2 linked regions of the Arabidopsis thaliana genome follow. The protein of the gene in region 1 interacts with the protein of each later gene in a pairwise test. Each region holds a gene or a part of one and is shown on either strand. Other genes may lie near its edges.

The links.
Region 2: the proteins of LYK5 (region 1) and HS1 interact in a protein complementation assay, tested with the Arabidopsis thaliana proteins (one large-scale study listed by BioGRID).

Annotation. Positions count from the first base shown.
Region 1 is NC_003071.7:14,218,770-14,224,150, reverse strand, and holds LYK5 (Protein kinase superfamily protein), read left to right. Parts: upstream 1-1,896; 5' UTR 1,897-2,308; coding exon 2,309-4,303; 3' UTR 4,304-4,670; downstream 4,671-5,381. Other genes in the region: AT2G33585 (subtilisin-like protease), read left to right, coding at 1-439, 534-605, 695-748; GALS1 (glycosyltransferase family protein (DUF23)), read right to left, coding at 5,108-5,381. UniProt on the Arabidopsis thaliana protein: May recognize microbe-derived N-acetylglucosamine (NAG)-containing ligands.
Region 2 is NC_003074.8:5,880,078-5,883,881, reverse strand, and holds HS1 (heat stable protein 1), read right to left. Parts: upstream 1,964-3,804; 5' UTR 1,917-1,963; intron 1,818-1,916; exon of another isoform or gene 1,806-1,817; 5' UTR 1,565-1,805; coding exon 1,425-1,564; intron 1,176-1,424; coding exon 986-1,175; 3' UTR 682-985; downstream 1-681. Other genes in the region: PMEI2 (pectin methylesterase inhibitor 2), read left to right, coding at 33-554; UPL6 (ubiquitin protein ligase 6), read right to left, coding at 2,750-2,816, 2,946-3,035, 3,128-3,199, 3,306-3,379, 3,488-3,568, 3,663-3,752.

The sequences.
Region 1 (5,381 bases):
TCCGGCCCACAATATATTTGAGCGGGTCTCCAAATGTTACGTGGAGAAACAACAGCCGCATGATGTGTCAATCCCAAACATCAGATTAACCGTCTCGGCGACCGGTTTAGCCTTTGGCAGTGTTCACCAAGCAAATGCGAATCAAAATCAAATCGCCTGCTTTTACTTTTCTTGCAATTTCAGTTCCAAATCGAATCATCATCAAAGTCAAGCAATTGTCAGAGAAGAGATCCAGAAGAACCTTAGACCAGTTCGTATAGTTGGGCATCAATCAATGGCTAGCAGCTGGAGAAGATCAATTGGAAACGTGAGATCTTTCATCGGTAATTCCATGGGAGGTCTTAGAGGTGGTCAGAGTGCCGCTTCTTGGGTCGTCGCCGGAACTATTGCTTACTTTCTCTGGATTAAGCCAGAACAAGATCTTAAAAAGGAACAAGAGGTACCAATTTTGATTTTTTTGCACATCCAAAAAAGTTTGTGTTTTTATTGAATCCTCTAGTCTCATTTCCACAGTTATCTCTGGTTTGATTTAGGCTAGGGCAGCTCTTGCAATGGCTGATACTAATCAATACGTTGAGAAGAGGAAACCAATCGCTGACCCTCAGGTAAATTTCCAACATTTATTAGTAGTTTAGTATTCATTTGTGGATTCTTCGTTTAGAGTATCAATGGTTTTTTCTTATGCTATTTGTAGGTTACTGGTTTGATATATGGAAACAAGAACGGAACTGATAAGTCAGAAGATTGAATTTTCTGTTAAGTTTGAACATTTGGTTGTAAGTTAGCTTCTACAGTTTTGTTCCTTATAGCTAATGATCATGTATAGACACTATAGTTGTAACTTACAACGAATAAAAGATGGAAACTTTTTTTGTTACCAAACCATCTCTGAAGGATTTTATGTGCATTGTGAGATTGAGTATGGATCTGAAACTTCGTTTTGACTCCAAACTTTCTATCATTTCCTTTTACTCTGTTCAATTTGGCACCAATTGGTTTCATGGTTAGTAACTTTTTTTTTGAAGTTTGCCAGTTTGGAACACCGATGCTGTAAACTTATATACGTCGGATTCGAAATTTTTTTACCCTTTAAATTGGTGAGATGCATCGACTTGCATCATTTCAGGTCCTTGCAATTATTCTGTGGTTGGTTTATGTTTGTGCTCTGCCACAAGGATGGGTGATTTTCTCGTGTCATATTAGAAAAGCATGTCTGTCTTGTTCTTTAGTTCGATCGTGAATGGAAAGCTTACTTCCCCGGGATATAACTTAGTTTTATATCATGTGATGGCGATTGACAATGGACCTCTGTTTTTTGTTGTGGATTATAGTATTGAAGTTATTGCCTCGACTCATTATTGGAGCTATATGCTTTAGTGTCCTTATCTTGGATGTTCTATGAGTTGGTCAGATGGATTTGGTTTGTTCTGCTTTGCGTCCTTAGATTCATCAGTTTGGTGTGCTTGTTGATGACTTGATGTAGTCTTCTAACCGAATTTGTATCCGTCGGAACCATATGTAATGCGTTGCAAGTTCTTTGGTAAACCTTTCATGACTTTGCTATCCAAAAGCCATGTTCATGGATCGCTTTAATAGTTGGCCCATTATTTTATCTAACTGTAGTTTGGTTATGATATAGGTTAATCTAGTTATACAGTTTTCATATCGAAACGATGAAACTAAATCTTCCGTATAGTAGGATGATGAGAAAATCGTGGTGCCGGTAAGAGTTTCCAACAGCATCATACCGCAAACCAAATGAATCTCTTTCCTTCTAGGAACAACGCCAACTTAGAAGTTTGAAAATTGTAGAGAAGATTATTTAGATTGACGAGAAATAGTCCATGACCATCTTTAAGTTGTTTATCACGTCGAGAATGGGTATGGGTTGAGTACCCGGAAGGAAAAACGGTAGCAACACGTATTGGCTGAGACAATGTGTCTCTTTCACATGAGATCCAAGAGACCAAGACCATCTTTATGTCCATGAGAGAGCTAACGTAGCTTAAGGGCATTTAGCATGATTAGTATTACTTAGTTCACTTTTGTATTCAGCTTAAGACTATTACTGAACAAATTTACTGACCTGGTCAACTTTCTAGAAGACGTACCAAAATCTCCTCTAATCCCACATATTATCATTTTGACGGTAGGACCAATGAGAAACGTCACAAAAAGTCAACACATACGACGCGTTTCCATTGACTAAATAAGTCTTCGCCGTCTCCTTTGGTTCATCATCGTCCTCTCTGTTTAAATCAGGAGAAAGCTCACGAGAATCCCTCTTCAGATCAGAACACCACAAAACATGGCTGCGTGTACACTCCACGCGCTCTCAGTCACCTTATTCCTCCTTCTCTTCTTTGCCGTGTCACCGGCGAAAGCTCAGCAACCGTACGTCAACAACCACCAGCTCGCCTGCGAGGTCCGTGTCTACGACAACATAACCAACGGATTCACATGTAACGGCCCACCTTCTTGCCGCTCATACCTCACTTTCTGGTCTCAACCACCGTACAACACGGCGGACTCAATCGCCAAACTCCTCAACGTCTCCGCCGCAGAGATCCAATCAATCAACAACCTCCCCACAGCCACCACCAGAATCCCAACCCGTGAATTAGTCGTGATCCCAGCTAACTGCTCCTGCTCCTCCTCCAGCGGAGGATTTTACCAACACAACGCCACTTACAATCTCTCCGGTAACAGAGGAGATGAAACCTATTTCTCAGTGGCTAACGATACTTACCAAGCTTTATCCACGTGTCAAGCCATGATGTCACAAAACCGTTACGGCGAGAGACAACTAACCCCCGGCTTAAACCTCCTTGTTCCTCTCCGATGTGCTTGTCCCACCGCCAAACAAACCACCGCCGGATTTAAATATCTCCTGACTTACTTAGTCGCCATGGGAGATAGTATCTCCGGCATCGCCGAGATGTTCAACAGCACATCCGCCGCCATAACCGAAGGTAACGAGCTTACATCAGACAATATCTTCTTCTTCACACCGGTTCTAGTTCCTCTCACAACTGAACCTACCAAAATCGTTATATCTCCGTCGCCTCCTCCTCCACCCGTTGTTGCTACGCCGCCTCAAACGCCAGTTGATCCTCCGGGATCTTCTTCTTCTCACAAATGGATCTACATCGGAATTGGAATCGGAGCTGGTTTGCTTCTCTTACTCTCAATCTTAGCTCTCTGCTTCTACAAACGAAGGTCTAAGAAGAAGTCATTACCGTCGTCGTTGCCGGAGGAGAACAAGCTCTTTGATTCATCAACCAAACAATCTATTCCCACAACAACAACGACTCAATGGTCAATAGATTTATCCAATTCATCAGAAGCTTTCGGTTTAAAATCCGCCATAGAATCTCTAACACTATACAGATTCAACGATCTTCAATCAGCTACTTCGAATTTCAGCGACGAAAACAGAATCAAAGGCTCTGTTTATCGCGCGACAATCAACGGCGACGATGCCGCTGTGAAAGTGATCAAAGGAGATGTTTCTTCCTCTGAGATCAATCTTTTGAAGAAGCTAAATCATTCTAATATCATCCGTCTCTCAGGTTTCTGTATCCGTGAAGGAACATCGTACCTCGTCTTCGAGTATTCAGAGAATGGATCGATCAGTGATTGGCTTCACTCGTCGGGCAAGAAGAGTTTGACATGGAAACAGAGAGTTGAAATAGCAAGGGATGTGGCAGAGGCGTTAGATTATCTCCATAACTATATAACTCCACCTCATATTCATAAGAACTTGGAATCAACAAACATACTTCTGGATTCTAATTTCAGAGCCAAGATTGCGAATTTCGGTGTTGCGAGGATTCTTGATGAAGGTGATCTTGATCTTCAGTTAACAAGACATGTTGAAGGAACACAAGGCTACTTAGCTCCAGAGTATGTGGAGAATGGAGTCATTACTTCGAAACTAGACGTGTTTGCTTTTGGAGTTGCGGTTCTTGAGCTTCTTTCGGGGAGAGAAGCAGTAACGATACATAAGAAGAAGGAAGGAGAAGAAGAAGTGGAGATGTTGTGTAAAGTGATAAACAGTGTGCTTGGAGGAGAGAATGTGAGAGAGAAGTTAAAAGAGTTTATGGATCCATCTCTAGGGAATGAGTATCCGTTGGAGCTGGCTTACACCATGGCTCAGCTTGCTAAGAGCTGTGTCGCAACTGATCTTAACTCGCGTCCATCTGTCACTCAGGTTCTAACCACGCTCTCAATGATCGTCTCCTCCTCCATCGATTGGGAGCCTTCTGATGACCTTCTTCGTTCCGGCTCTCTTGGCAACTAGTTCAGTTTTTTTTTTCTATTGGTAGTCAATAACAAGTATTTAGACTTTAGATAAGGACCATACGGCTAAAAAGTTGAGATCTAATAAGTACCCCACTGTGAAACATAGTAATAAGAACATATCATAGAGAAACTTTATTTAGATTTTGACATGTTGCTTCAGTAGTCTTTTGTATTTCAGAAAAAAATAATCATTTTCTTCCAATGAGAAGTAGAATCTTGAGGAGAAACAGATCCAAAATGATACAAGTAAACAAACATAACAATACCACTACACATAAAATGCTTATCAGAGAGAATCCTATCTAAGATTGGATAATTTCATCTAAATCAAAACAAGAAATTCTTTGTGTATAATCATAGTCACACCAGAAGGGACAAAGAATCTACTTTGTTCCTTTTCATGACCTTATTTATAGTTAGAAACATCAGAAGCTACCTATGTCTTGCCTAAGAACTGAATCACAATGACTAAGAACTAATTAGCTTTGAATTATTTGCTATTATCGAATGAATCATTGAGTCAATGATTTTAAGAATCTTTAGCTAAATCAATTATTGTCTTACGACAAAATAATAAAAACCAACGATGTTTTGTATGTCCAAGGTCTTGAGTAACTCTAATTTCTATTAAGTTCAATACATAACAAAAGAAAACACAAGTAATTTTCAAAAATATTGATCAAAGTCATTAATGAAATAGTAAAAGAGGACAAAACAGAATGAAAAATGATACATGTAATGTAGAAACAACTATACCTTTATAGACAAAATGCTTATCAGAGAGATTACAGCTATATTATGGTCATGAGAAATTCTTCACATCCGTCCCAAGTTTTTTCTGCTCAAACTCTTTAATCGTCTTCACTAGCTTCTTCATGTTGTCATCATACACATACGGAAGCTTATTGTACAATGTCACCTTCTTCTTGGCTGAATTTGGTAACATCTCTCTACAAAGCTCCTCATGCACAGTTATGGTGTTGTGGTAATGGTAATAACGAATCTTTGTCTCTGTCTTGTGTAGTGTTTTGCCTACAATGTTTTCAGACATATGAACTCCTGTAGCAAATGCGTTC
Region 2 (3,804 bases), on another chromosome or scaffold:
TACCAACGAACATAAGAAAGAAAGAAGCAAAGATGGCAGCATACCTGACGAACAGAGTTTTAATGTCTTCTCTGATGTTTTTTGTAATGACTGGTTCTTTGAACGCACAAGTGGCAGACATAAAAGCGATATGTGGAAAAGCGAAAAACCAATCCTTCTGTACGAGCTACATGAAATCCAACCCAAAGACCTCAGGTGCTGATCTTCAAACGCTTGCAAATATCACATTTGGTTCTGCACAAACAAGTGCATCAGAAGGTTTCAGGAAAATTCAATCTCTAGTCAAGACAGCAACCAACCCCACTATGAAGAAAGCATACACCTCATGTGTACAACATTATAAGAGTGCAATAAGCAGTCTCAATGATGCTAAGCAGAGCCTGGCGTCAGGCGATGGCAAAGGGTTGAACATTAAGGTTTCAGCAGCTATGGAAGGACCTTCAACATGTGAACAAGACATGGCGGATTTCAAAGTTGATCCTTCAGCTGTGAAGAACAGTGGTGATTTTCAGAATATTTGTGGCATTGTACTTGTCATCTCAAACATGATGTGAGAGTGGGATTGATTCAATCTCCCTTCATCATACTCATTAGACGATTACATTAAACAGTAATGCATAAATGTTACATATATAATCAAAGAACTTTTTTTCTCCAACCCACACATCAACAAGAACCTGGTTTCTTTTCAACTTGTTATTCCATATAACTCAACTCTATTGATAAAAGAAACTAAGAGACAACAACTAGTAATAGACTTATAACAAAGAGGAGTCTGAAATCAAACACTCTTAATAAACTCATGATCTTTTTACAGATCAAGTATAATACAACAGAAGGAAACAAACAAACAAACAAAAAAGAGAGAAATTCACAGAGAAACATGAGAACAATGCAGGAAAACTCAAAAGGAATATACTTTATTCAACATACAAGATGCATACCCGAGAAAAAGATCAATGATGAAAATGCTGCTACAAGATAATTAGAGAGAGACAGAGGTAGGCTTGTAGTCAATAACCAAAACTTTATCCAAGCTGCCAAGGAAGATGGTGGCGAATTCAACGTGAGCAGGATGAGCAATGTACTCTGCAACAGCTTCTTTACTCTCAAATGTGGATTCAAAGATGTGTGTGTAACCTTGATGCAGATTCTCAATGCTCACATCTTTTCCCCTAAAATTATACAGATCCAATAATTCAATAAGACAAGAGCAGATTCGTCGATTTAGTTGATTTAACTTTTCAAAAGATCATCAATGGAGATGGATTCTCTCTGAGGGAAATTAGATCAACACTAGGAAGGTCATGAATTTCCCCAAATTGCTTAGTTTTACATAATCATATTGAGTTGATGGAAGTGTTTTTCGGATCTCGAGCATATGTCTAACACTAGGAAGCAATTCAGAATCCAAATTTACTAACCAGTGGAAAGCTTTCATAGGTTCGATGAGATTGACGAGATTGGCGTAACCTTTGATGAGCTCTTCGATTTTCTCAGGACTAACCCCATCTTTGAAACTAGCAAGCAATACGTGCTTCACAGGTCCCTTTGCTTCCTCCATTTTTGATCCTTATCCCCTGCGAATGCAAATCTCCACTATTCCACTTATCAGCTCTCTAAAGTCTTAACTAAAAATGGACGGTCGAGATCTTTGATTAAAAGAGCGGATTTGCGACGTGCAAATACGATCGTCGGATTATTGTTTTCGTTCCAAAAAATTAAATAAAACGTCCTCAGATATAAACATTACCAGATGCTCCTGGTATACTCTGTATTGAATCTTCTTCTTTTTTTTTTCTTTTCTGTGCAAATTGAATTGAAGCTTTTTTAATTTATAAAGTGTTTGTAACAATTATGTTTACTTGATTAATCATGATAAGTGCGACAAAAAATGTATATAGAGATATTCTTACCACGGTGATAATAGAGTTGGACTGTCCAGCCGCACTTAACGCCGTTTTGCAGCCGTCCAAATAGCCTTTCTATAGAAATTGGTTAACACAAATCCATGAGATTGTTAGTGCATTTGAATCTTGTACATTCCGTCATATTGCCACAAACGCAAATCTGATCGCGCGTTCCATTTCTTGGGAGTGTGATTCAAGACAGAAGGTTTCAGTCTAAGTTTTACTTAGCACTTGGAGAGCCTTCATGACTTCACAATCAAGTGTCTAAGGAAAGTAAAGTTTAAATTTCATTTTGTATTTCTCGTTATTTTTCTGTCATTTTGTTTCTGTTTTAATAATTATCATATGACAAAAAAAAAAAAAAAAGGATATTCTTACCACTAAGTCACTAAAATGCATCTTTTTATAGAAGATATATGGTATGATGCAAATAAGTATCAAAATAATCATCTATGTTCTGTGTAACATGCATTAATTAAGCAAAATAATTTACAGCATTTAAGTTCCTCTTGAGACCAGTCTTATTTACCATTTCTTTTATTGAATTTTTAACCCAAGACTAACTCTCAGGAGCTTCCAAATAAAGACTTCCCTGTAATCACTTTTTTTTTTTTGTCACACTTTTTGAAAGCGAATACCCGAGAGCTGCAAATGAAACCCATTAGTCAAGTAATCTCTACTACATGTTCTCCTTCTAGATCCGTCTCTTAGATGCTTAGAGCCAACAAGCCTGCCTCAGTCTACAGGTTACCCGGTTTATACCATAACGAGGAATGCTAGAAAAAAGGGTGTCAATTTGGGGCCATTGAAGTCTGTGTTTAAGGCAGGAAGCTATTCCATCAGCTCAGATCAAAACCCGCTTCTGCGCTTATGGCGTACATCAATTTGGTCTCAAGTAGCTCTTTGCTGCATCATTAACAACAAGACATGCTTTATTTGCTTTTTCCAATTACAACACCAAGAGAAGCTATTTGGCAACAAAACAAGTCTCTTAGCTAAGCAAAACCAAAGAGTTTGTGTTATGAGAGGACAAACCTTTGATAGGGCGGAAGCTTAAGAAGATTCATACAAGTGGCTGATGTCGGTAGTCTATCAACTGATTCATTACTCGCACTACCGGCAGCCCTGATACACATTCCATCGAGGATGGATATTTTATGATTCTATTGTCCAGGGCCCATCAAAAGTCAAAACGATTGTGAGTCTGTGTATATTACCTCTGTATGCAGAATGCAGGTTCCAAGTATTTGAAACCCAGCAGTGGTCCTCGTGAGCAGCCTGTCACAAACCTGAAATTGAAAAATAGAGGTACCTCTTAGTTCCCTTAGAAAATTCATAGACTCCGGTAAATCATTGCGTACACAGACTGTAGTAGTAACTGCAAAGTTTGCTTACTTTAAGAACTTCTTCTGGTTTTCAGTTGAGAAGCTTTTCATAACTTCCCAGAACATATCGATCACATAATGTCCCTGTCAAGTGTCAACAACATAGCGATATAATCATATATAACAATACTCCAAAAGTGTCCCTACACTAATTCACAATGGCATTTCGGCTAACAGTGAAGAACCACTCACCGCGTGGTAGCCTCCAGCATAATTAGTGTTGTTTCGCAAGTCGTCTATATCCAAACTATCAACTGAACCAGATATGAGAACCTGCAACCAAAGCCCACAAAGGTAAAATTTCTCTCTTCATGCTCCTCGAGGGAACAACTAACAAAGCAAGTATAATTATACACTTAATTGGCACCTGAAGCTCATGTTCATTGAACATGTCGATCCATTCTTTCGGAATGAGTTGCTGAAACCCCCTCAAGAAATGAGAACTCTGCTGGCGTATCTGCAAATGAGATGATATCAATAGCTGTTGATTTACAGGGTGACCTCAGGTA